3 linked regions of the Lepisosteus oculatus genome follow. The main gene of each other region encodes a partner of the protein of the gene in region 3 in a complex. Links are inferred from orthologs where the notes say so. Each region holds a gene or a part of one and is shown on either strand. Other genes may lie near its edges.

Region 1 (7,257 bases), on a different chromosome or scaffold from region 3:
AATGATGTAAATGATTTATCATTTTATCCATACATGTTTACAGTGGATAAGGTGATGTAAAATTTATAGATCAAATAAGGCCTTTTATTTACCCTGCAGAACAAATAGTGGAAAAACGTTACTTGGAAGAATTGGAAACTATTTGATATAGACATTGACATTTGACTCATTTCATTTGTATTTATTCTGCTGTATCATTCAGGAGGGCCTACAATTAAAATGCATATGGGACACATGCAAATGCACTGTAGCAGTTCAGAATATTATCAGAGTATGGTACAGCCTTCCTAATCAAATCTGCAAATCTGTACACGTCTACTGTAAGTATCATGGCAAATTGACCTTAAACACTATACTTTCATAAGAACCCCCAGTCAAACCAATTACACACTAAATGAAACCAATTTCATTCTTCTATTGCAAGATGACCTAGTGAATACCCATGGGAATCAGAATACGTGTGACTTATATGTACCAGAAAAAAAATGTGACTGGAAACAAGCATTAATGATGGAAATCCGGAGAAAACGCAGACCATGAGACATTCGTTTTCATTCAATTTGTAAACAGGATTTCCTTTTCTTACTGATTATTTAATCATACCTTTCTATGCAACAATAAACAGCAAAAGAAGTCAAGGATGCTTATTTGAAGAGACTGAAGTGGCGAGCTACATCAGAGTGCATTGGCGGCAAAGGAAGAAATAACGTTCAATTCCACATTGAACACCAGAAACATAACATTTCAGCTGTTCAGGTGAAGAATAATTTGCTTCTTTTCTCTATCTTTGAGCATGGAATTAACTCTTACGTGTTCCAAGGATACTTTTCTGCTGCTCCTGCAACGGACGTACTGTAGCCATGAGATTGGACTTCCTCAAGACCTCTAGATACAGTACTTTTGTTTCTATACATTATATAAACATTGTTAAACAAAATACAGGCTGACAGATGTAGTTCTGGTGGCTTCAATGTCTGAACCCCATGAATGTCCTCACAGGCCTCTCATCCATATATTGACAAGGCCCAATTCTTGTGGAGCCTGTGACATAGGATTTGATCATACAGTATGGCTACAGGTGTTGAGGAAGTCAGCATTTGATGCTTTCTAAATTCACCCAAAGTGATATTAACAGCACAGTTTGTATCATGGTTGTGTTGTCCTGAAAAGCTATATTGCATGCCATTATAGATGTTCTTCAATGGCATCCACTCTCTGAAAGTGTCAGATGTTGCTTTTCCTGGATCTTGGAGTAGTAAAGCTATTGGTAGCAGATATTGAAAGAGGATATTAGTATTTCAAAAACATTTAAAACTGCATTAACCAAACTATGTTCTAAAGGACAGTAGCTGATAAAAAAGCAGGTAGGGCCAGTGATAAGGATTATTATGGGACATTTCCTTAGGGTAGCCACTTGCTTCTTCCTCTTCTCTTTACATAAAATAAGAAAGTATTTTAATGATTATGTAGTTTTGTATTCTAATCTCATTGGAATAATGTCCATTTTTCATTCTTCTTCTGATATATGTCTATTTGTTTTTATTTTATTAACACTCATTCTGTTTTCATTTACTGTTTTATAATCCACTGTAATGGAATCCCAAAACTACAGTATATACTGTATCTGGCAGTTCTAGCTTTAAAAGAAGACAGCATTTGGTTAATGAAGAGTCCTTTATATTGTGGAGGTGTCCCCACATCATCTGTTTGTCAGGAATTTCTCTCTTTATGGAAACAATTTCTCACATCTTGTCCCCACATTAATAGTAATATGTGCCCCACCCACACACACTCCCACATAAAACAACACAGCAAGTAACAAGCAAGGTCAGCTGAAGCAGCAATCTAATAGCCTCCATTTTCTCATGGAGCTGTTCTTTTCTTTCAAGTGCTCTTCACAGCTGTGCTGAGAGCACAACAGTTATGGTAAAAACATCAAAATAAATGAGAAAGAGAGCTCAGAGTACATATCCCTTGAGGAATATATATATTCACTACACCTTCAACACAAAGGTGTAATCCACTGCAACCTCACTTCCTAATTGAGGGCCTGTCCTAGAAGCAGGTTTTTATTCTACCTGAGCTCTCAGTTAACTAATGGATATATTTATTGTCTAACTTGTACTAATTGACCAGGTTTGTTCAATTCTAGAGATGTAAAGATGCCTATAAATACAGCTGGATTACTGCCTTCCAGGACTGAAGTTATTAAATGTTGTCCTGGATGTTTACAGAGTGATACAGTCCATCAGGTATAGTTAATCTGATTTATAGGCACAACCCTGACTCAACCTGTGCAAGCTCTTACAATGTGAAACTCAAGTTTGATGGGTTGAGCAAGGCAAAATTATGATGTCCACCTGGAAGGGACAGTGTACTCATGGCTTGGAACAGTATTCGGTGAGAAGACAGAATAGATCCTTGAGTTAAAATTTAATGCATTCATGCTTAGCGTCCCTTCTTTATCTTAATACAAGTGCATTCTAAATGGTCCTATACATACTGTTTTGTATGTGTATGTGTACACAATGTAAATGGTTTCTGACTACATTTACAATAGGCCAACTCATTAAAATGAAACCCTACGCATTTGTTAAATCTAATTTGAAGAGCGAGTGTAAAAATGTTTATTAACCACTCTGCTTTAAGGAGATGGTAGATTTCCGGAGTGTTGCCACAGACATTGTTTGGGGCCTCCATTGGAGCTGTTGGACCATACTGCAGTTCCCATTTATCAGAAAATTGGAGGGAGGTACCACTGAGGTTAATAGGGGTGGATATAGGGGTTTTGAGTGGGGGGAGACTGTTATTTAGATTTTTAATAAAATGTTCACATTGAAAATTCACACTGCCAATTAGAATTTGAATTTAACTGCATAGGAAACATTTGTGCCATTCAACAAAGAATATTGAAAGACCTTTGAATTCTGCTTGCACATATTGTAAATATGATTATTGTAGTACAGAATTACTCACCAGTCTCTTTGACATGGGTGTCTTGTCATCTCCGGGAAGGTGCTGCTCCAGAGCCAGAACAATGCAGTTTGCTATGATGGTAGCCAGGATCATGTATTCAAAAGGAGTGCAGACAGGTTAAGGAAACAAACTTCTTGAAAGTAAATAAAAACAACAGAATGTTTAATATAACCAACAATTAAACATTTGAATAAAACGTCTTGCAACTGTGTACATTTTTTTGTTTAAAAAAAGACACAGAATTTTAAGGTGACTAGTGACCAGAAAAGAAATGTGACATTCTTTTCCCCTCTGTCAAATATACAGATATTAAAGATGAAATAGCATTCTATGTTTGCACTATAAATTGATGAATAGCATAAATTAAATGAGAATTAATGATCATTAATATATATATATATTACACCACATATAACATTTCTCATTAAGAAGTATTATTCCTAGATGACTTTAGTTTAATAAATGTCCAGGTGCTTTACAACATGATAATAGACCATGAAATCTAAATGAAACAGAAGAGAATAACTTCAGGATTTTAGCAGCAACCACAACAAGCCTGTCACTGTAATGTATCCAGAAAATCTGGAAAGTACGTCAAAGCAAAGTTCAGATGATTTCTATTCTAGCAACAGTAGTTTTTTTATTTTAATACAGCTGTTCAGGCATATACTGTAGCTTCATCAGTTTATACACAATGTGTGAATAAATGTAGAGCCCGAAGTTTCAAGAAATGTAACTAAAAAGTCGGCAATTTTATTCACCTGCTTTAATGAAAGTCTGACAAGTAGGAATGTGAGGAATGAAATGCAGAAGAGCACAAGTGCTTAATTACATCAACTTTACCCAAGATTTAAAGAGCAACGTCAAATATTTGCAATGCAATATGTCATTTTATAATTGTTTGCAGTGCCAAGGGTTTATTACTTCGGTAGCTCCAGTCTAACCTACCACATCTACTGTATTAATATCCTGCCAAGATGAAAAGAGTAAATAAGGTCTAATTTAATAAGAATTTACAGAAGTAATTTCTGTTCTAGAGTACCATTTGTGAGCTAAATGGTTAGACTATATACTAATCACCAAGGGATGTGGGCTCAGAATTTACTACTGAATGAGCTGTACTGTACTTCTCCATTATCAGTTGTACCTACAGTATAATGCAAAGCTGATGCAAAAAGGTTGGCCACAGCGGTTGAAATGGATTCAGTTTCTGTAGACTAATAAAAAAAAACATTTTAAGATTAAAATTCATACCTTCACTGATTCAATTATTCTGCCTGTAAAATGTAAGAATGACATCCAAATAGGAACCATGCCAATTCATCTGGGCACATCATAATAATGGAATCCGTGTGAAGCATAGGATCAAAAGCAACAGCAGCATTCTGTACACCTCTCATTGGGTCGTATAAATGTGAGAGAAGAAGGGAGAGGGGCTTTAATTCGATGTGGGGTGCAGAAAAAGCTGAAGATTTAGTTAAGCTCTAACATAAAGGCGGCAACATCAAAAATGTACAGTTTCCAAAGTGTAGCATCCCACTCTTTAATACTTATATACTTATGTTAATACCCCTTATAAAAAAGCTTCCTATTTATAGGATACAAGAACAAGTTTCTTGCTTTTTTCCAGCGTACAAATCCTGCTTATCCATGCCTTGGCTGCCTTACAGTGCTCTTACCACCTCCAGATCTAGCAGTACAAAGCAACAGATCCTTCTACAGCCCCAGAGCAAGAATGGGACATGAAAAGGTCTTTGCCACAATGTGAGACTGCAGGAGATGGGCTGCCTCCTCTGCGTTTCTTCAATGCATGATGGGACCAAGGAGAGTGGGAGGAAATAGCATGTAACACAAACAAAGGCTTCTCTCTGGGTTTCAGGATCTTCCCAGAGTTCCCGAAGGTTGCAGGTTCGACTCTAGCCTCAAGACAGCCAGGGAATTAGCTATGCACTCTTTGCCAGGGTGCGTGGGCATGCCATTTCTTCAGATACGTAAAATAAATAATAAACGAATAAACGTCTCCTTTGCCAACGGGGATACATCAGAGCAAACATTGCTGCCAACCAGCAGGAACAGCAGAAGGGCCACAGAGACACCCACACTGTCCTTTGGGGAAAAAGAGATGATACATTCATTTAATAATGCTTGTATTTTCAAACCTGGATTAATGTTATCTGAACAGCCAAAAAAATAAAATAAAAAGGAGGCACGGCTTTATGTATCGAACAAAACAGACCGATTACTAGCTAGGAGAGATTTAATTCTGAGTTGTTTATTTACCATGGCAGTGTTTCAGCACAGTCAGTTACCTCAGCCAGTTAGGTTTATTGTCAATCCTCAGTGTGAATACCGTCTAACTGAACTGCGTGCTGATCAGAGTTGGGCCTCCTGTCTTCAAAGTCATAAAGCTGTCTATTTTTACAACAAAGGGAAACAGTTTGACAGTTTGTGCACACACATTCCTGAAATACCTAGTGAAATCTGAAAGCAGACGCCATGTTGATGTTATTTGCCTCTTCTCACTAAAAATGCAAAAATAAACTGACATCTACAGTACCTCAGGCAAGATAAACAAAATATCATTTATTACTTGAAAAATAAGTCTTTTTAGGAATATTTTTCATTCTACAGTATATGAATATATAAAGATAAGGCTTGTCCCATTTTTCTGTATATTATTAAGTAATCAAGTACTAAATATAGTAAGTAAAGTACTAAATTAATATTCTGATAATTCCGATTATTCATTAGTTTTAAACAGTTATTTTGTACAGTATTTCATTCAAAATCCTTATACAACAGGAGGAATAAATGAGATCATGGGTGTTCATACTTTCTGTTTGTAGCAATTATATCAGGGAAAACCTGCAGAAAACTTCCAATGTTGCTTCTAAACCTTCACAACTTTGAGAAGAAAAAAAACTTTTCCATAAACAATGATACAAATATGGAGGCTGATGAAAGGGACACACAGAACTAATGAGTGGAGGACAATTAAGGCAAACAAGAAGACAAAATCCCTTTATTTATCCTTAACTAACATGCACTGCAACACAAGATACTGTATACTCTAAGATATTCAGGTGGGTAGCTGCGTCAGCATGCGTAGGCTGCAAAGGAACAAGTAATAGGTTTATTCCATGCTGAAAAAAAGAAGAAAGAGAACACAACGTTTCGGCCGTGGAGCCGTGGACACCTGAAGAAGGCTCCACGGCCGAAACGTTGTGTTCTCTTTCTTCTTTTTTTCAGCATGGAATAAACCTATTACTTGTTCCTTTGTACTCTAAGATATTGTTCAACTAAAACAAATACAATTCTTTGATAATTTTAGCACCAGTCAGTCTCCATTTTCTTTTTTACTTTTTTTAGCCATTCACATGGCTTTCCAGCAGACCTTCTGCTCCAGTCTGCCAACCTGTCAGTCCTATTCATCTTTTGACAGGAAGCAAGTTTCACAATGCCTTAAAACACAGGTTCCTAGTCCTGGTCCTGGGGGCTCACACACCTGCTGGCTTGTGCTCCAGCCCAGCTCTCAGATACATAACTAAACACCTACTAATAGGATAAACACAACGGAACACTCAATCTGAAATGGTTGACTGTTTTTCTGCTCTTACGCATGATGGTGGCTGCCATCTAATTCTAAAATCCAAAACACTTGTGTAGAAAAATAACTTATACAAGTACAGTACAGTATATAGTCCAATCAAGCAATTCTCTCATTCAATCAAGGCTTCAATTGGGTAATTAAGCTCAGCAGATATGAGTTTGTTGAGAGCCAGGGCTGGGAATTCTAGTTCTAACCAAACTACTCGCACATCTCTCATTGATATCAATGCAAGTCTGCAGCCACCTGGCAAGTCAAGCTGCTTATAAAGAAGTCAGGAAGGACTGGGCAATTTACCCTACTCAAGCAAAACTGCCAGATGTACACCTGATCTAAGGAAATCCCACTCCATTGACTAGTGATATTACCCAGGCTCAAAGTGGTGATGTATGGGCATTAAACGTTTAATGCAAACCACTGCTGAGTGGTTGGGAGCCCACATTCTCCTGTTTCTAAAAGTACAGATCTACATGAAGTATAATTGTTTTTTACTTTTCTTTTGTTTTTAACTGTAATGGAATTCAGAACATTTCCTCCTGCATATATTTTTATTACATGTTCTATTTTTGACAACACAACGTGGATAACCTTTTCAATGACGCAGAAAATGACTTTACCTGCCACTCTGGTAATGGAAAAAAAAATCTGATCCTCAAACAAAAAACATTAATTAC
Region 2 (7,261 bases), about 40 Mb from region 3:
CCTAAATTAAATTTGGAGAAATTAATAGCAATATAATAATTAAACGACATATAGTAATACGTGTGGGTAGCTGCGTCAGCATGCATAGGCTGCAAAGGAACAAGTAATAGGTTTATTCCATGCTGAAAAAAAGAAGAAAGCAAACACAACATTGTTTGCAATGGTCATGGCCGTCGGGGCCGTCTTCAGAGAACACATCAGGGCTGTGAAGATTAAAGATCTCTCCAAGTCTGTTGTTTCTTATTTCACCTCTGACGGCCACGACCACTCTAATCTCTCCGTCTGTGTTCTCAAAGATGGTTTTCCAAACTCATACATCAGAAAGACTACCGAAACCAAAATTATCCTGCAGCTAGGGTCAGACCTTCCCCCTTCTCTTAACGACATACTACTTTTCTTCTAAATTTTCTTCATTCATTAGAGGTTTCATTTCACACCTCTCTACACCTATTCTGACTTCACACCTCTTAATTGGCCTCTCTTTCTGTCCCCTGCTCCCACCTCTCGCTCCTCCTCTCTCCCAGCCTTTGTTCTCCTGCTACATTACCGTTGCCTACTGCCTTGTCTTTCTCACACCTGAAGAAGGCTCCACGGCCGAAACGTTGTGTTTTCTTTCTTCTTTTCTTCAGCATGGAATAAACCTATTACTTGTTCCTTTATAGTAATACACTTTGAATACATGTTGAAATCTGCTCAAAACTGTTACCATGGAAGGATAGAAATATGCACCCAGATACAAATTTTCTAGTGCTGCAAGATGTGTTTCTGTAGCAGGTTGATAAAATTACTGACGGGGTCCACCGGCTGTCAAATCACATTTCAGAAATGCTGTAAATACCGTCAAGGTTATATATTTAATATGGGAAAAGTCTGTGACAAGCAGGTTATTTTAAACTTTTTTTATGGGGTTTTAGTGTCCCTGCTGAGAACACCAGCGATTTGACATGGCATTTTATCTCCCTTATCCACCACCAAAGCCATTTATGTAGCTGCAGCACACCAGGAGTGTAACCTGTGAGGTGAAAAGGAGCCGGATGAACGGTTACAGAGGTGTTCTGCATGGTGATGATTGCAGCCCTTTATAATCAACACCTGCTTTCACAGCAGACAAGACTGAAGACTATTCTCTTAAGTGCGGAAATTAAGTAGAAGGATGTACAAAATTAAAGATGAGTCAGAAGGAACCACGCCCCGATCTGAAACGGAAAAGCACAAGAAAACTGGAAATGACCAGCACTGTACCCAGTACCCACTATACCCATGCAAAACCAAGTAGAATATCCATAAAATGTTACAAGGAATTTTGAAACGTCTCTGAAAAACAGCTAATGGCTAAAGGCACATAACATGATTTTACAGATCATAAAACTGGTTGGAAGAATTGGTTTGTGGCTTAATAAGGAGGACGATAATGAATGAAGAATATGTCAGAAGGAGATGGTGATAAATTTTAAAAAATAGGAATGTTTCCCTTTTGTAAGTTTTCAAGAGGAATTGAGCAAAACGTTTAAGTCTCATTTTCTTTTCAAAGCATAAAGCACTCAAATACATATAAAAATAGGGAGATTGGTGATAATCATAGTAGCTTGAGACCAGTTTGCTCATAAAGGACTTTCGTCTCCTTTTATGGTGCAAAGGTATTTTGGTGGGCAGTGAGCTTGCGTGTCTGGGCTTCTCTCTTGAGTGTCCTGCCAACACCAGAAACCAAGCCAACCGAGATAAGATAAAGACAGTTCTCAAATACACATGAAGCCCCTTCACATGCAGTGCCCACTGTAAGTCTTGATTCACTATGATGAACTTAAATGGCTGTGGTGTATTGCAGTAAGTGGCAGCCTCATTATTAATTGATAGATCTCATAATTCAAGTAACTGTATTTTATTTGCTCCTATTTAGAGGGCTGGGGCTGTTTAAGTTGACACATAGAGGCATTTTCAGTTTTATCACAGAGTCTAAATATGGTAGAAAGTGCAAGTAATTTCTACTGGGGCACTTGCCAGCGATTTGCTTTTTTTCACCTCGAAATCACGAGTCATACTGAATGACAAGCTACCCTTTACGTTTTCTTCATGTTTTGAGATTGTCTTTCTTAATTAACTGGGATATTTTAACTGAGATTCTGACATCCCTAAAATAACCATTCATTCAGAACTTCAGAGGCAACACCTGTAAGGGTTTTTTAAAAAAGCCTTTTTTTAGACCTTTGTAATCAGATGGTTTTATACTCGGTAACCTAGAGTGGCCTAGCAAAGGAATATTTTTGTGGCAGAGTGTCTTTGTAATTGAACCGCTAAACATAATTTCATGCTGATTTCAGTGACATAAGACTTAATAGAAAGACTTAACAATCCCTTTGAAAAGTGATAAAAAGACATTCTTCATAGAATAACTTATTGTAAGTTAGAATAAAACATCTAATCTGTTCTCAAATACTGTGTTGTGCAAAATGTAATTGTACTTTGTAAAAGGAGTAAAAAAGCCACAAATCACATTCTAGAACATTAGAGAATATAGTTTCAAGAATAGTCTGTAATTAGCAATGATCTTACCTCCAGGGCGGACATAGGTATAGTTGAGTTGCGTCTCGGACACAAGTTTTCCTTTGTATTTGGCATCTGGCTCTGGTGGCAAGCGCTGGTGCCTGGGCTTTCTATGCAGGGTGAATGCCTTCTGAAACATGATCTATCACCACTGTGGTGTATAATGAAGAACACAAATCAAAATCCTTAGAATCCTTTGTGCCCTCTCACCTGGTTTTCTGTATTCATGTGTCATATAAAAAACTCCGTGCCAGTTTCAGTCAGAGAAACAATTTCATGTAATCCTTAAGCGTGACCAAGCCGGTGTTCAGGAGCAGAATCCCACACAACTGAGGTTCACGAAGCTGGCGACGTTACACGGCACTGTACCTCTTCAGAGGTCCGCTGGCAGTATCGGTCTGCCTTTGTCAGGATATTTCTTAAGTTATCTGCCGCCTCAGCCCCTCTACTTGCCCGCTTTGTTTTTCTCTTTTATCTTCCACATTTTTTGGCTGCCCTGTCTCTCTCACTTCTGTTTGCAAGATTTATCTGAGGAGGTGTGGGGAAATGTTCACTGTCTGCTTGTCACCGACGCTCTTGACCCAAGCCCGATCAGCTTCGCCTTTCCTCTCAGCAGCATGGCTTTCCAAAATTCCAGCCCCGGCTACGACCCCGCCCTCTCCATCCCTGCCTAAGAGTTCCAGCTGATAAGCCCCTTGGGGCAGCTCTGTCACCTGAACATTTTCCAAATACTGTACATTTTGTTCTTCTCTGTCTTTAATATTACCATTAAATTGAATTTGTTGAAAATAACATCAAGATCTGTCCTGTCCCCTGAGCTGTTATAACCAGAATCTGTCTGTTATTTTTTGTTTCCAGTGTCCATTTATGGGATCTGGTTTTATGACAAGGAGGACTGTCAGCGGATTGCTGAGCTAATGAAGAAGTACGTTCATTTCAAATGTATTGTTTGTCTGCATCTAGTTATTACACCGGTTTGTAGCTCTACATTGTATTGTGTCATCTTTCAGCCAGTCCATATCCATAAATATTTGAATTGCTGTCACAGTACTTCTTGTTTATGCACAGCTATAGAAGTATTGTGGTGTGATCCATCCAAAGATTATGTCATCCTGTTACTGTGTCTCATTCCACACTCTCCCACTTAATCTTTCTTCTTTTCAAATGCTCGCTCAAAATCTGGATCAGTGGTTAGGAGGTGATGGTGTTCTGTATTATACATGCCTTGGCAACAGTGGATCAGAAATCCATTTACATGCCTTGCACAAAATGTTATGCTTGTCAAAGTCTCAGCATGGGGGAACATTCCTGACGTTCATTTTTGTGTCAGAATATTAATTTAGAGCCTACCTGTTATGGAAGAATGATGATTCAGCACTCATGGGATCTAGCTAAATACTTGCAAGGCACAATAAGGTTTTGCAATTGTTTATTTGCTCTCCTTTCCCTATCCTCTGTACTTTAAAGCCACACAATACAGTGTCTTTGGTTTGGTCTTGTTGCTACACTGTGAAAGATGAGATAACCTTAATCTTATCAGTTACAGCCTCCTAAAATATAGGTGTTATTTTTAGTTTTTCCAGGAAACACCTGTGGGCATTTGTTATCTTTTGCTGTCGTCTTAATCAGATCATTTAAGCATTCCCCTCTGTAGATTATAGGACATTAATAGAAGCCACGGAGAATGTGTAAATTTGAACTTAAATGTCTTTGATTGAAATAAGTGGATCATTTTTTAAGAAATACAATGTATATCTATATACACTTTTCAAATGTGCACTTGTCACTGTCTGGACCATTAAAAAAAATTAGGCCATTACAATTTTTTGCAATATTAAATCTTAAAATAAAGCCTGTTAACCTCAAGGGAAAATCAAGAGCAGAACAAAAAAAATACTATCCCAAACTGCAAATCATAATGTGCTGCATCATTGTGGGATAACTTTATACTCTACAACATGACACAGAAAAAATCTGGGCCACTGAATTTGCCTTCCACCAGTACAAGGAGACTGGGGTTCTCAATTAAATCAGTTTGGTAGATTACTGAACTCCCAACAACACACCTACTATTCAGTAGGTTGCCAAAATTGGGCAGGCTGTGAAGATTGAAGATCTCTCCAAGCCCATCATTTCTCATTTCACCTCTGACGGCCATGATCACACTGATCTCTCCGTCTGCGTTCTCAAAGTAGGGTTTGTTAACTCGACAGCAGAAGGAAATCAGAAACTAAAATTATCCTGAAACTTGGTTCACACCTTCCCCCTTCTCTCAACGATAGACTTGTTTCCTTCTTATTCTCTCTATTCATGTGTAGGTTTCATTTCACACCTCTCCTCCCCTCTCGCGACCTCGCACCACTTGATTGGCCACTTTGCCTCTCCCCTGCTCCCGCCTCCTCCTCTCTCCTGGGTTTTGTTTTCCAACACTATATGTTCTTTGCTGACTGCCCTATCTTTCTCACACCTGAAGAAGGCTCCACAGCCGAAACATTGTGTTTTCTTTCTTCTTTTTTCAGCATGGAATAAACCTATTACTTGTTCCTTTGCAGCCTATGCACGCATGCTGATGCAGCTACCCACCTGAACTGATATTATTATTCATCTTCATGTCTCATTTAATCATTATAGTACACATTTATAAGGTGTATGTCTACCCTTTAGATAAAATTACCTATACAGTGTTTAACAATCAATTATGTTTTAGTGTTTCCTCAGACACTGTAAGTGCTTCTCCTTCTTGTTCTGTGTGAGGCAGTGGCTCAGGAGGCTAAATTGAGAGTATTATTTCTGAAATTGGCTCTGTGGTATAGAGACAGTTTCAAGCAAATGATAATTATATGGCAATCAAGTGCGTTCTGCACTGCAGGGCGGTATAGTTTGATTTTGTAAAATGCACTCTTACAAATGTGCAGCAACAGTGTACATTTAGCCTCAGGACTTTGCAGCTCTGTGCAGTATGTTTATACTAGATGGATTATGCTCTGGTGACTTTCCTCCTCCTCCAGTTTAACGCAGCAAGAACAACTGAAAGCTCAGCATGGGGGAGGCGTGTCTCCCAAAGCTCTGCACTCAGGGGACAGTAAAGGGGTCGACATCCTCCAGATGCTGAACAAGGCCAGGGATGAGTATGACAAGGTAGGTTTAATTACTAGTATACCACTAGGTGGCACTAGTGTCAACTGATACCCTCAGCTCCAAGAACAGTGTATCTCAGCTGATAAGGAGTAAATTACATTCCTGTAAGTATTTAGTATTGTTTTATTTTTAACATAAACATAAAATTCTAAAAATAACTTCATTTCTCTGTAATTGTACTGAGAGGATTCTAAGGCATATGAAAAAAAAAGATTTTAAAGTATTAAAATTAACTTTTGTACCAAAAGTCAAGAAGTGTTTGGAGTAGGGCTAGTGTTGAGGAACCAATTTACAAAAAATAGCAGAGATTTGCTTCCCATTAAAGTAGGTTATAAGCTTCTCATTGGAGCCCCATGTAGTTTTATAAAGGTTGTTGAGAACAACAAGGAAGAAGCACCATGTAAAAAAAAAACTTGTGAAGTTGTCTTTTGTCTCATTCTTATGAAAAAGACCCAAGTGTTTATGTTAACAACTCATTTACATCTTCTAGACAATGTGAAGAAGCAATTAAAAAACTAACAAATAATAGGATATATAAAGCATAGAAGTTAAAGCAAGGGATGTTATGTGAAGATTGTATGATGCACTAGCAATGCCTCATTTATACAGTTGTGTACAATTTGGGTCATCGAAAAGACATTGCTTCTGTGGGATCAGTCCAGAGAATCTACATCCTGGGGCTTCAGGAAATATCCTACACTAAAAGGCTTCAAAAGAAAAAAATATTCAAAATAAATGGCACTGACAGTCGACACAGCAGATTTCTTCACTAAACAGTGAAACATGAAGTGGAGGACTCTAAGTGTAAACTAGATGGAAGTGCATTTTAAAACAAGAACAGGAGACACTTCTGTACCCAAAGAGTTGTGGGAGTCTGGAACAAGTTACTTAGCCATGTTGTTGAAGCTGATACCCTAACTTTTCTGAAGTTAGGCTGGATGAAATCCTTGGACAGTTAACTACTAACCTCCAAATAGGTTAGATGGGCCAGATGTCCTCCTCTTGTTCGTTAGTAATGTACATTTTCACTGTGAGTGTTAAGGGACTGAGGCTCACTACCTTGACATTGCAAGAGCCAAACCAATAAAAAAGAAAATGCATTCCTGAACCTTTTCTTAGCTTGGCCAAAGCCATAGGTTCTTATCCTGTGAAAATGCTGATAGGATACCTGCTTCCTTATTGAGCATTAACTGTCTGGGATTAATAAGGCATAGCAGCAGTTTACAAGATATTTTCTGCTTCATCATATTTTGTAATCTTCTTTGTTCTCTTCTTTCTTTTTTGCGAAGGTCCTCTTCTCCTTTGTTCTTCTTTCCTCTTAATGCTTGGTGTTATTTTTAATGACATTTCAGGAATATTTGCTTTTGAAAAGACATTATATAAGATAATTTCTTGTATTAGGAATTTGTCTTTTCGTATACCCCAACTTGCTCTCCATGAGACACACAGACAGGGAGAGAAGATTGGGGCCAGAGCACAGGGTTTGCGATTTATGCGACGCCCCTGGAGTAGTTGGGGTTAAGGGCCTTGATCAGGGGCCCAACGGAGTAGGATTCCTCTGCCAGCTGCAGGATATGAACCG
Region 3 (7,879 bases):
GTTGATCACACAGCAAATTACAGTAAGAAAGTGCAGTTGAACAAGCAACAAGCCAGACAGCAACTTGCATATGTACCGTATAAAGCATGCCGCAAATATAATAAGGAAAAGCATTTTAATGCTCCTGTTTGTAGAGAAAAGAGCTTGTGTTGCTTTTGTACAATTTAAATGAGCCCTAACACATACTGTATAAAGGAACCCTGTCATCTTTTATATCATCCACTATCCATACTTGCCCCAGGGTCTTTTTATCTTGTCTCCAAAAGAACTTTTGTTCACATTTTCTGACACTTTCATGGTTGTGGTGCAGTCAAAAACAGTTCAACAAAGGTACCCAGAATACAGATAACAAAAGTGATACCCACTCCTTTCCTCTGCTGACAAGAAACTAAAAATGCATCTGCACCACTGGCAAAAACAAGAGTCATAAGGATTAGCACTGCCTTCTAATTCGGACTTCCATATACACCATGTCAGATTCATGCATTTGTTATAAATGTAGACCGTATTAATGGCAAAGGCTAGGTGGCACAAGGTGATGAATCACTGTCTGCTCCTACTGCCAGTCACAATGCCCTGCCCAACAACAACAACAACAAAAAACTAACAAGTATATAAATATCTTTGAGACTTTCTCCATATAAGGTTTCGTTGTTTTCATGCGCGTTGTGAAAACAATTTAAGAAAAAATACAGTATATATATATAAAATACACAGCAACATGGCAACCTGATATTCAGTTTTCAGTTCATTATCGACCTAACCACTATGTATAAGTACGGGCACAATGTTTAATTATGAAACATTCTGTCTACAACATATTCCCTTTCTGAGTATGAATATGAAGCACTCAGTTTAAGTTAGGAAATCTCTCTATGGTTTATTTTAAGAAAAGGGTTCTACAGTATTACCACGTGCAATTTGTATTCTGGGAAAACAGTAACCACCTCGCACTTTGCTGGTTTATTTTCCTAAGCTCTCCAATCAAAATATTCTAAACACGATTGAGTGTTGATACACATAATTGCAGTTCATTTTCAAACTGAAGCTATAAAAGAGCGTGCAAAAAAAAATAAAAATCAATGCCATCACCGAAACACTAGTTCAAACAACTGTAATTCTACGAATGTTCGTAACGTATTGAATAAAAACTGGAGTTTAAAATAAATCATTCAGTAGTCTATGTGGAATAAACATACATGTAAACAAATCAATTGGTTTATTTTATTTATAAAAAAGGAAAAAATGTTTAACTTTAAATGTTAAAATATTTTTTATTGAATGTTATTTTGTTGATCCCCAAGGAACCTCCCTTACCGCCATATAAAACAAGTGTGTAATATAAAAAAAATAATATATATTAAAAATATCAAACAGAAAATACTTTTGTAGAGTTCTTCGAATTTGCAGACTATTAATTTAGAACTGCCGATTTTCAACAAGTTCTAAAAAACTATGTCTCATAGGGTGGTTTTTACATGTTTAAAGATCAGACGCTGTCATTTCGGCTTTTTCATATACTTTCCTAATATCCCAACTAATACTTTTATAAAACATTCATTTCAATAGGAATTTTGTAACTTCAATAGTTGATTGCAGTTCAAATATCTTGCTCATCACAGTAACAATGCAAGCTGTGCAAGATAACGTGTACGATTTGGTACCTACATTGAATGAACTGAAAAATGTAATTCTGTATATTTCTACAGAGCTGCATACAAACTGTCCATCGCTGTGAATTGCACTTTTATAAGCAGATACAGTACCTTTCGGCTCGCAACAAGTTGACATGAAAAAAGCTTTATCAAGCGACACGGCCACTAGCTTTCAACACTGATAATTAGTTGCCATGTGGTTTTATGAAATGCAGTATACAGTAAATTGATAATAACGTAAGAGCATGACCCGAATTGAGGAAAATGTACTTAAATGTACTTATATACAACAGACATCGCCGTAATCTAAAAAGGGTCACCTTCGCTGCTAGTACAGTAACAACTGAGCTGAGCAACAGTTTTAAATCTTTTTTTTTAAGAAAGCTACTGTATATTTGAATATACGTAATGAACCGGTACAGCGGATAAAGTCTTAAGAGTATCTATGATGAACAAAGCATATCATAGTGAAAGTTGCCACCCCCTGCCCTGCACAGATGAAGCTCTCACCGTACTGTATTTCGTCAACGCAAAAATTTTCAGTAACTGTCGCCTACCCATTGTCTGGCAAATTAAATCCTAAACCCAGTTTCAAATAGGATATGTCTGACTGCTAATTTAACGTCTTACCTTGAGCAAAGAAAACTACAATGAAAGAGTAATGCATAATCGCTGTTTACAGATTAGACCGCTACATGTTTCCTAGTACTGTATTAACACTAAAGACAAGTCAAATCATTGTTGTACAAAACAGATGGGAGGATGTCAATTTGTCACAAGTTTGATTTTATTTTAAAAACGGCAGCTGTTTTTAAAAACGGCAGCTTCAGCGCACGGGACTGCCAAGCATTTGGCAAACAGCTGAAAACCTCATGTAGCCTAGCTAGAAATGACCCCAACTCCTGTTACTTACAATATCTGAGAAGGAAACGGCTCCGTTGAAGAAAGATTGTTTAACAGGGAGAAGAGTACCAAAAAAAGGACGGATATCCTGTAAGAATCCATCGTTTAAACGCAATTTCCAGCACGCGAGGGGGGAAAAAATGCACCGATCCAGAATGTGATTAATGAGAGAAACGCACTGTAAGTCCACAGCAGCTTGTAGTGACACTTAGCCAGATAACAGTCTGTTACTCCACTAGCTAATCTGATCAGCCGCCATCAGCGCTACTTTCTAACAGATCGCGGCTGTTTTCTCTCTCTCTCTCGTTTCAGTTTCAGCTGTGTTAGTTTGTTTTCCTTAAATAGATGCAGTGAAATTGTATTTTGCAAGTGGGGTAGAACGGTCTTTATCTCCTCCTCTGCAATGAGAGACCAGTGTCAGACCCCACTAGATCAGTTGCACACAGTAAACCCCTCCGCCCCCCCCTCCGCAACCCCCCTCCTCTGTTGATGATGATCATGTACTGCCTTCCATACAAGGAAGAGAGGAACTCACCAACTCAGCAGCTGATCTCCTTTACCACCGCCTTTGATCAGATACACAACCAAGCCTCCTAATATAAACCTATTGGCAAACTTAAAGGAGCAAGACATTACATATCTGCAGTATAAGACAAGGACGACAACAGGTTAGGGTGAGAAAGGAAGCTGATTCTGTATTTGTTTCTTAAAACTGATCTTCTGAATGACTCTTAAAAAACCTGTTCTGTTTTCAGTTTTTATTCTTTGAAGAGTTGCCATTTAAACAATTAGCTCATATACATTTATGCCTGTTATGTGTCTCTTATATACTGATAACCAATGAAAATGTAACAGATGACTTTTACATCAGTAATTTACTGGGGACATATTGTAAATTGGGCTTCTCATCTTAAATTGTGAGCAATGTGTTTCTTGATAGTTTGGTTAGTATTGGAATATACCACCTCTGTAATGATCCTCTGAACTCTGACCACTTTCTGACTCCCCATCATCCCCACCAGGTAGGGAAGGTGGGGGTCCTGACTAATAAAGGTCAGGTACGTCAGGATGGGAACCTGAAACCACATACACAGGTGGGGAAACATGGGACAGCCACACACTTACACTCACATAAAATGCACACAAACCTCTGTACTCCTCTGTGAGTCTGAGGAGTTAACACTGTCCTTGATAGTTCCAAACTATCCCAAACAACTTCCTGTCTGTCCCAGCATGCTCTCCTGGGGCTGACATCACCAGCACCACTGCTTATCTGCTCAGTGCCCCATCACTGCCTGATGAGGATGCTACACTCTGGGTGACTAGCACACAGTGCACCTACAAAAGGGTAATAAAGTCAGTGAGCTGCAGTTCCCATATCCTGCCTCTCTTCATACAGGACCCACTCTGTATGGGAACACTAGGGGGGAATTGCTGCACTATTTTACCTTGGGATGACAAAACATAGAGTGCAAGCCGTGGGATTGCATAAAAACACCATGTCTGCCGTTTAAGTCAAATTGTAGTGGCCATGATGAGTTTTTGAAAGAGTCTGTCTAGCCATTCATAAAGACATTATTTAAATTGATGCAGGCAGCACTATCGCCTTGTATTCTAATCTTTTCAGATCTAAGAAGCTCATCGGGGTTGGGCCTGGTGAGTACTGGGAAGGGGAAACCTCTCAGGGAAACTAGGCTGCTGCAGTAGTGTTTGTGGACCAGTAGGTCAGAAGACTTCTAGTTCAATTCCCCATTGTAGTGACCAGGGACACTGTGTTTAATCTGCTCATCTGATGATAAACCAATAAATGTTCCAGGTTTTTACACGGCACTGTTCACAGAAGTAGGGGAGTTAACCATTTATAAGCAGATTTATAACCAAGTTCCCCTTTAATTTATCAGGTGACACAATATCTCTCTTCCTTTCTTGATCTCCTTTTGAGGGCTGCAGGTTCTGAATCACTGCCATGAGACACATACAGTTTACTGTACAGTAGATGCAAGGAAGAATCATTTCTTATTTTTCATTATATGACAATGTAGCCTTTGAATAATTAAGACCATGTGGTTATGTCTGACATAATTAAAGACAGCCTGTCAGTAAGAGATGTCCAGAGAATGAGATGTGTTACTTCAGCAACCTGCTGTCTAGTTCTAAGAAATCAGGAAACCAAATCCATGAGGAGCCCATGTCCTGAAGGGCTGAGAGCTACAGTTCCATGTCAACTCTTAACCCAGAACCAGAACCATCTGTCAGGTCCCAATACATAATTGTTTTCAAATCGCCATTTCTATAACACACTAAATTGCAGGACGAAATAACCTGTGCACCAGCAGAATTACTGTAGCTTGCTGTCTGCAGAAAAATAAATCTTCTACATGCAGGCTTTTAAAGAATAACACGTCGACAGCTGAGAGGTGTGAGTGCTGTCTTCTGTTGGCCAGAGAACATCTGAGCTGGCAGCAGAGAGAGTGGTGAAGTGTTCTATCCATTGATGAATGCTGTTTCGCCTTTGGCAGACCTGATGGAAGACAAAGTGTTGGGAGATACCATAGAGAGCATTATGGCAAGTATTGTGCCAGTGTCAAACAGTGACATGGTTTGAACTCTGTTGATGGGTGAGGAATCTGCTTTTGGTGCAGATTGAGGGCACCAAATCTGATAACTTTATTGCTCGTCGATACATTGACAAAGTCTCTTAGGCAGTGATTTTCCTATTCCTTCAGACCCATCTGAAAGTGTCAGTTTTCCATCAAAGCAATGATACAGCTTCAAGAAAACAGTGCTGAGGCCCTGTTATAGTCAGCACTTTCTCCTGACCTTAGTCCAATAGGGCATCAGTGAGACCAACTCATTAATGCCAGGAACAGGAGACAAATGCTTGTAGCTCTTCAGGTTGTAGTTGCACAAGAGGAGTGGCAGAGCATGACAGAAGAGACTGACCAAGACTGTGCTCCGGCACCAGCAGGATAGTATGTACTCTTGGGGAGACCAGAACTTTTTTTAAATGTTGACAGTAAGCCATGTTTCATTAACTCTTTGATCTGTATTTTTATATATTATTTTCTGTGATTTAATTTCCACAATATGTATAACAATTGCTGAACTCCATTAGATCTAAGCATTGCATTTCTTATGAGAAACAATATAGAGTTAGATACAGTACCCCTAACCTAATTAATGAAAACCTTGAATTAAAGTTTCATAAAAAATAATAGTTTAATAGCATGTATTTCACTCTAGAAATATAAATCACTGCTGCTTCAGTATTATCATAGTTATTTGTGTGTTTTTACCTTCAAGGTGACAGGTATTAAAGCTTTCATGTGTACATGCGATAGGGTTCATGTCTAATTTGTGTTGCTCGTGTGGCAAATTTGAAAAAAAATACCACCTTCTCACTTAAGATGCAAACACTATTTTGGAGGCATTGCACATTCTTCTTGCAGTGTTCCAAGCTTAATTATATCACAGTTAATCAATGGCAGGAGTTTGTTCACTAAAATAGAAGAGGACCCATAGTGAATGTCCTAACCACAGATTATATTTGATCCTATGGAACCCATTGGCTGTAAGTAAATAAACTAAGCATGACCCTCTTTAGAGCATAAATAGTATAACATCACACGCCTGAAAAGGGTGTTGGATGTTTCATCTGAAAAAGCAAAATAATTGTGCTTTGGGACTCTTACAACACTATTATAATATGCACACATGTTTTAACAAACAAAAAACAAAATCGGAGTATTGCTCTTCATTTAGGAATAGGTTGAAAATGAAAAATCATACAGGGCCACAGAGGCATAGTTACTGAATTCAAATCAAAGCAGAAATCCAGAATCTTGTGAAGTATAAAAATCAAGATACAGAAATTGTTTCATATATCTACAAAAGATCTTCACCAGAACCATTGGCTGCAATTTAATCACCTTAATATTGGTCAAATTCATTCCTTTTTAATTCATGGTTTGGAAATTAATTATATCTGAAGGGAATTAGTCAATGAATTGCAAAATCCTTTTTACAATCAGGGGAATTGTAAATCATCTCTCATTTGAGATGATTATATACAATGGTCCCTAATAAACAATGAATAGACAAATACTCAATTGTTAATAAGATGAAACAGTATATGCACACTTACCAGAAAAATCCCATTCTACATATACCATGGAGATGTTTAAAAGCCTTTTTGGTTTGTTTTTCATGTGCTTTGTGCTGTCCAAATATGACATTTCATTTTCAAGACTAGCACTGTAGGAGAACTCTCAGTCTTGAGATCGGGGTGTGGATTTAATATCTGTAGAGACTCATTCTGATCCTGTGGAAATACAGACATAACACGTGGCTTTTACTAATGTCAGTCACTAATCTGTGAACAAAAAGCCAAACAACAAACTAGAATTAACAGGATTAAGCATCATTACATGGGGTTTCTTAGGAATTACAAAACCCTGGCTTAAAAAAGCTTTAAAGCAAATTAATGAAATGTAACTATATGCTTACTTTAATTTTGTGGTTTCCAATAGTGCTCCATCTTATTATTACTATTATACCTTCATATGCTGTGGTTGTGAATTTCTTTCTATTTTTTTATTTTGCTTGCTCTGACATGTTTTTAGGCGATTGCAAAAAGCGTTACTTCAAACATTCTTCTCCCAACAAGAGAACCATTTCTAATTATTTCACTTTGGCTTCTAATTGCTGTGTATCAGATATCTCTAGTATTTCAAAAAATGAATTAATTAATCTTTTGTGTAAATATGTGTTCCCATATTTTTGATTGACAGAAAATCATTGTGGTATTTTCAATAAGAGTGTCAGCAACCTATGTAATTCATTTAATTAGCCTGAAAAGCATGTTCACATTTATTAATTGTAAAAACTGTCAAAATCATCGTTCTATATACAAATATTTTATTATATACAGTATAAACGATATTTTTTCCTTGGTGGTTTCAATAATAGAGGACTCAAATATTTTAAGGTGCATTATCTGAATGTGACTTTAAACATCTTCCCATTTTTTATTGTTTTAATACATCTTCATTCCTAAGGATCCTATAACGCATTATGTATAGTAGGGGACCCTCTTCATCCACCAGAGGTTACTATCCCAGTACTGACCAAACTCAATTTGTGCAGTTTCTGAGAGCTATGTAATGATGATAAGGGTACACACGCAAGGTAGCATTTGTGAACAACTGCAGTTTAAAAACAAATGTTTAATGCAATATTTAGCTCACTGTCTGAAATTTCTAAATGTATCCATAATTGTCACGTTTCTCTCCAGTAATGAGATGACAAAAAATATTTTCTTA

The links.
Region 1: the proteins of voltage-dependent calcium channel subunit alpha-2/delta-1 (region 3) and voltage-dependent R-type calcium channel subunit alpha-1E are in contact, whole or in part, in a cryo-EM structure (PDB 8EPM), measured with the Homo sapiens proteins. The link is inferred for Lepisosteus oculatus from reciprocal best matches to the Homo sapiens genes CACNA2D1 and CACNA1E. Residues at the interface, in NP_001353796.1 of Homo sapiens: Thr170, Asp171, Tyr173, Ile233, Leu235, Ser261, Gly262, Ser263, Ser265, Gly266, Leu267, Lys270, Ala327, Lys328, Gly329, Ile330, Thr331, Glu366, Gln391, Asn393, Tyr394, Ile416, Gly417; in NP_001192222.1 of Homo sapiens: Gln110, Leu112, Pro113, Glu114, Asp115, Asp116, Lys117, Pro119, Arg122, Asn630, Phe631, Asn632, Asp633, Gly634, Ile1330, Gly1331, Asn1332, Val1334, His1336, Met1341, Val1343, Arg1346, Arg1393, Ser1394.
Region 2: the proteins of voltage-dependent calcium channel subunit alpha-2/delta-1 (region 3) and cacna1c are in contact, whole or in part, in a cryo-EM structure (PDB 8WEA), measured with the Homo sapiens proteins. The link is inferred for Lepisosteus oculatus from reciprocal best matches to the Homo sapiens genes CACNA2D1 and CACNA1C. Residues at the interface, in NP_001353796.1 of Homo sapiens: Thr170, Asp171, Tyr173, Ile233, Leu235, Gly262, Ser263, Ser265, Lys270, Thr274, Ala327, Lys328, Gly329, Ile330, Glu366, Gln391, His392, Tyr394, Ile416, Gly417; in NP_955630.3 of Homo sapiens: Phe147, Pro148, Glu149, Asp150, Asp151, Ser152, Asn153, Ala154, Asn678, Lys1090, Gly1091, Asn1092, Tyr1093, Ile1094, Tyr1096, Gly1099, Val1101, Pro1104, Ile1106, Arg1109, Tyr1156.

What each region holds. Positions count from the first base shown.
Region 1 is NC_090704.1:28,655,984-28,663,240, reverse strand, and holds the start of voltage-dependent R-type calcium channel subunit alpha-1E, read right to left. Parts: upstream 3,078-7,257; 5' UTR 3,070-3,077; coding exon 2,977-3,069; intron 1-2,976. UniProt on the Homo sapiens protein: Voltage-sensitive calcium channels (VSCC) mediate the entry of calcium ions into excitable cells.
Region 2 is NC_090702.1:7,866,006-7,873,266, reverse strand, and holds the start of cacna1c (voltage-dependent L-type calcium channel subunit alpha-1C), read right to left. Parts: upstream 3,105-7,261; 5' UTR 2,681-3,104; coding exon 2,551-2,680; intron 1-2,550. Other genes in the region: dcp1b (mRNA-decapping enzyme 1B), read left to right, coding at 3,400-3,466, 5,550-5,679. UniProt on the Homo sapiens protein: Pore-forming, alpha-1C subunit of the voltage-gated calcium channel that gives rise to L-type calcium currents. Mediates influx of calcium ions into the cytoplasm, and thereby triggers calcium release from the sarcoplasm.
Region 3 is NC_090702.1:47,618,597-47,626,475, forward strand, and holds the start of voltage-dependent calcium channel subunit alpha-2/delta-1, read right to left. Parts: upstream 3,004-7,879; 5' UTR 2,661-3,003; coding exon 2,569-2,660; intron 1-2,568. UniProt on the Homo sapiens protein: The alpha-2/delta subunit of voltage-dependent calcium channels regulates calcium current density and activation/inactivation kinetics of the calcium channel. Plays an important role in excitation-contraction coupling.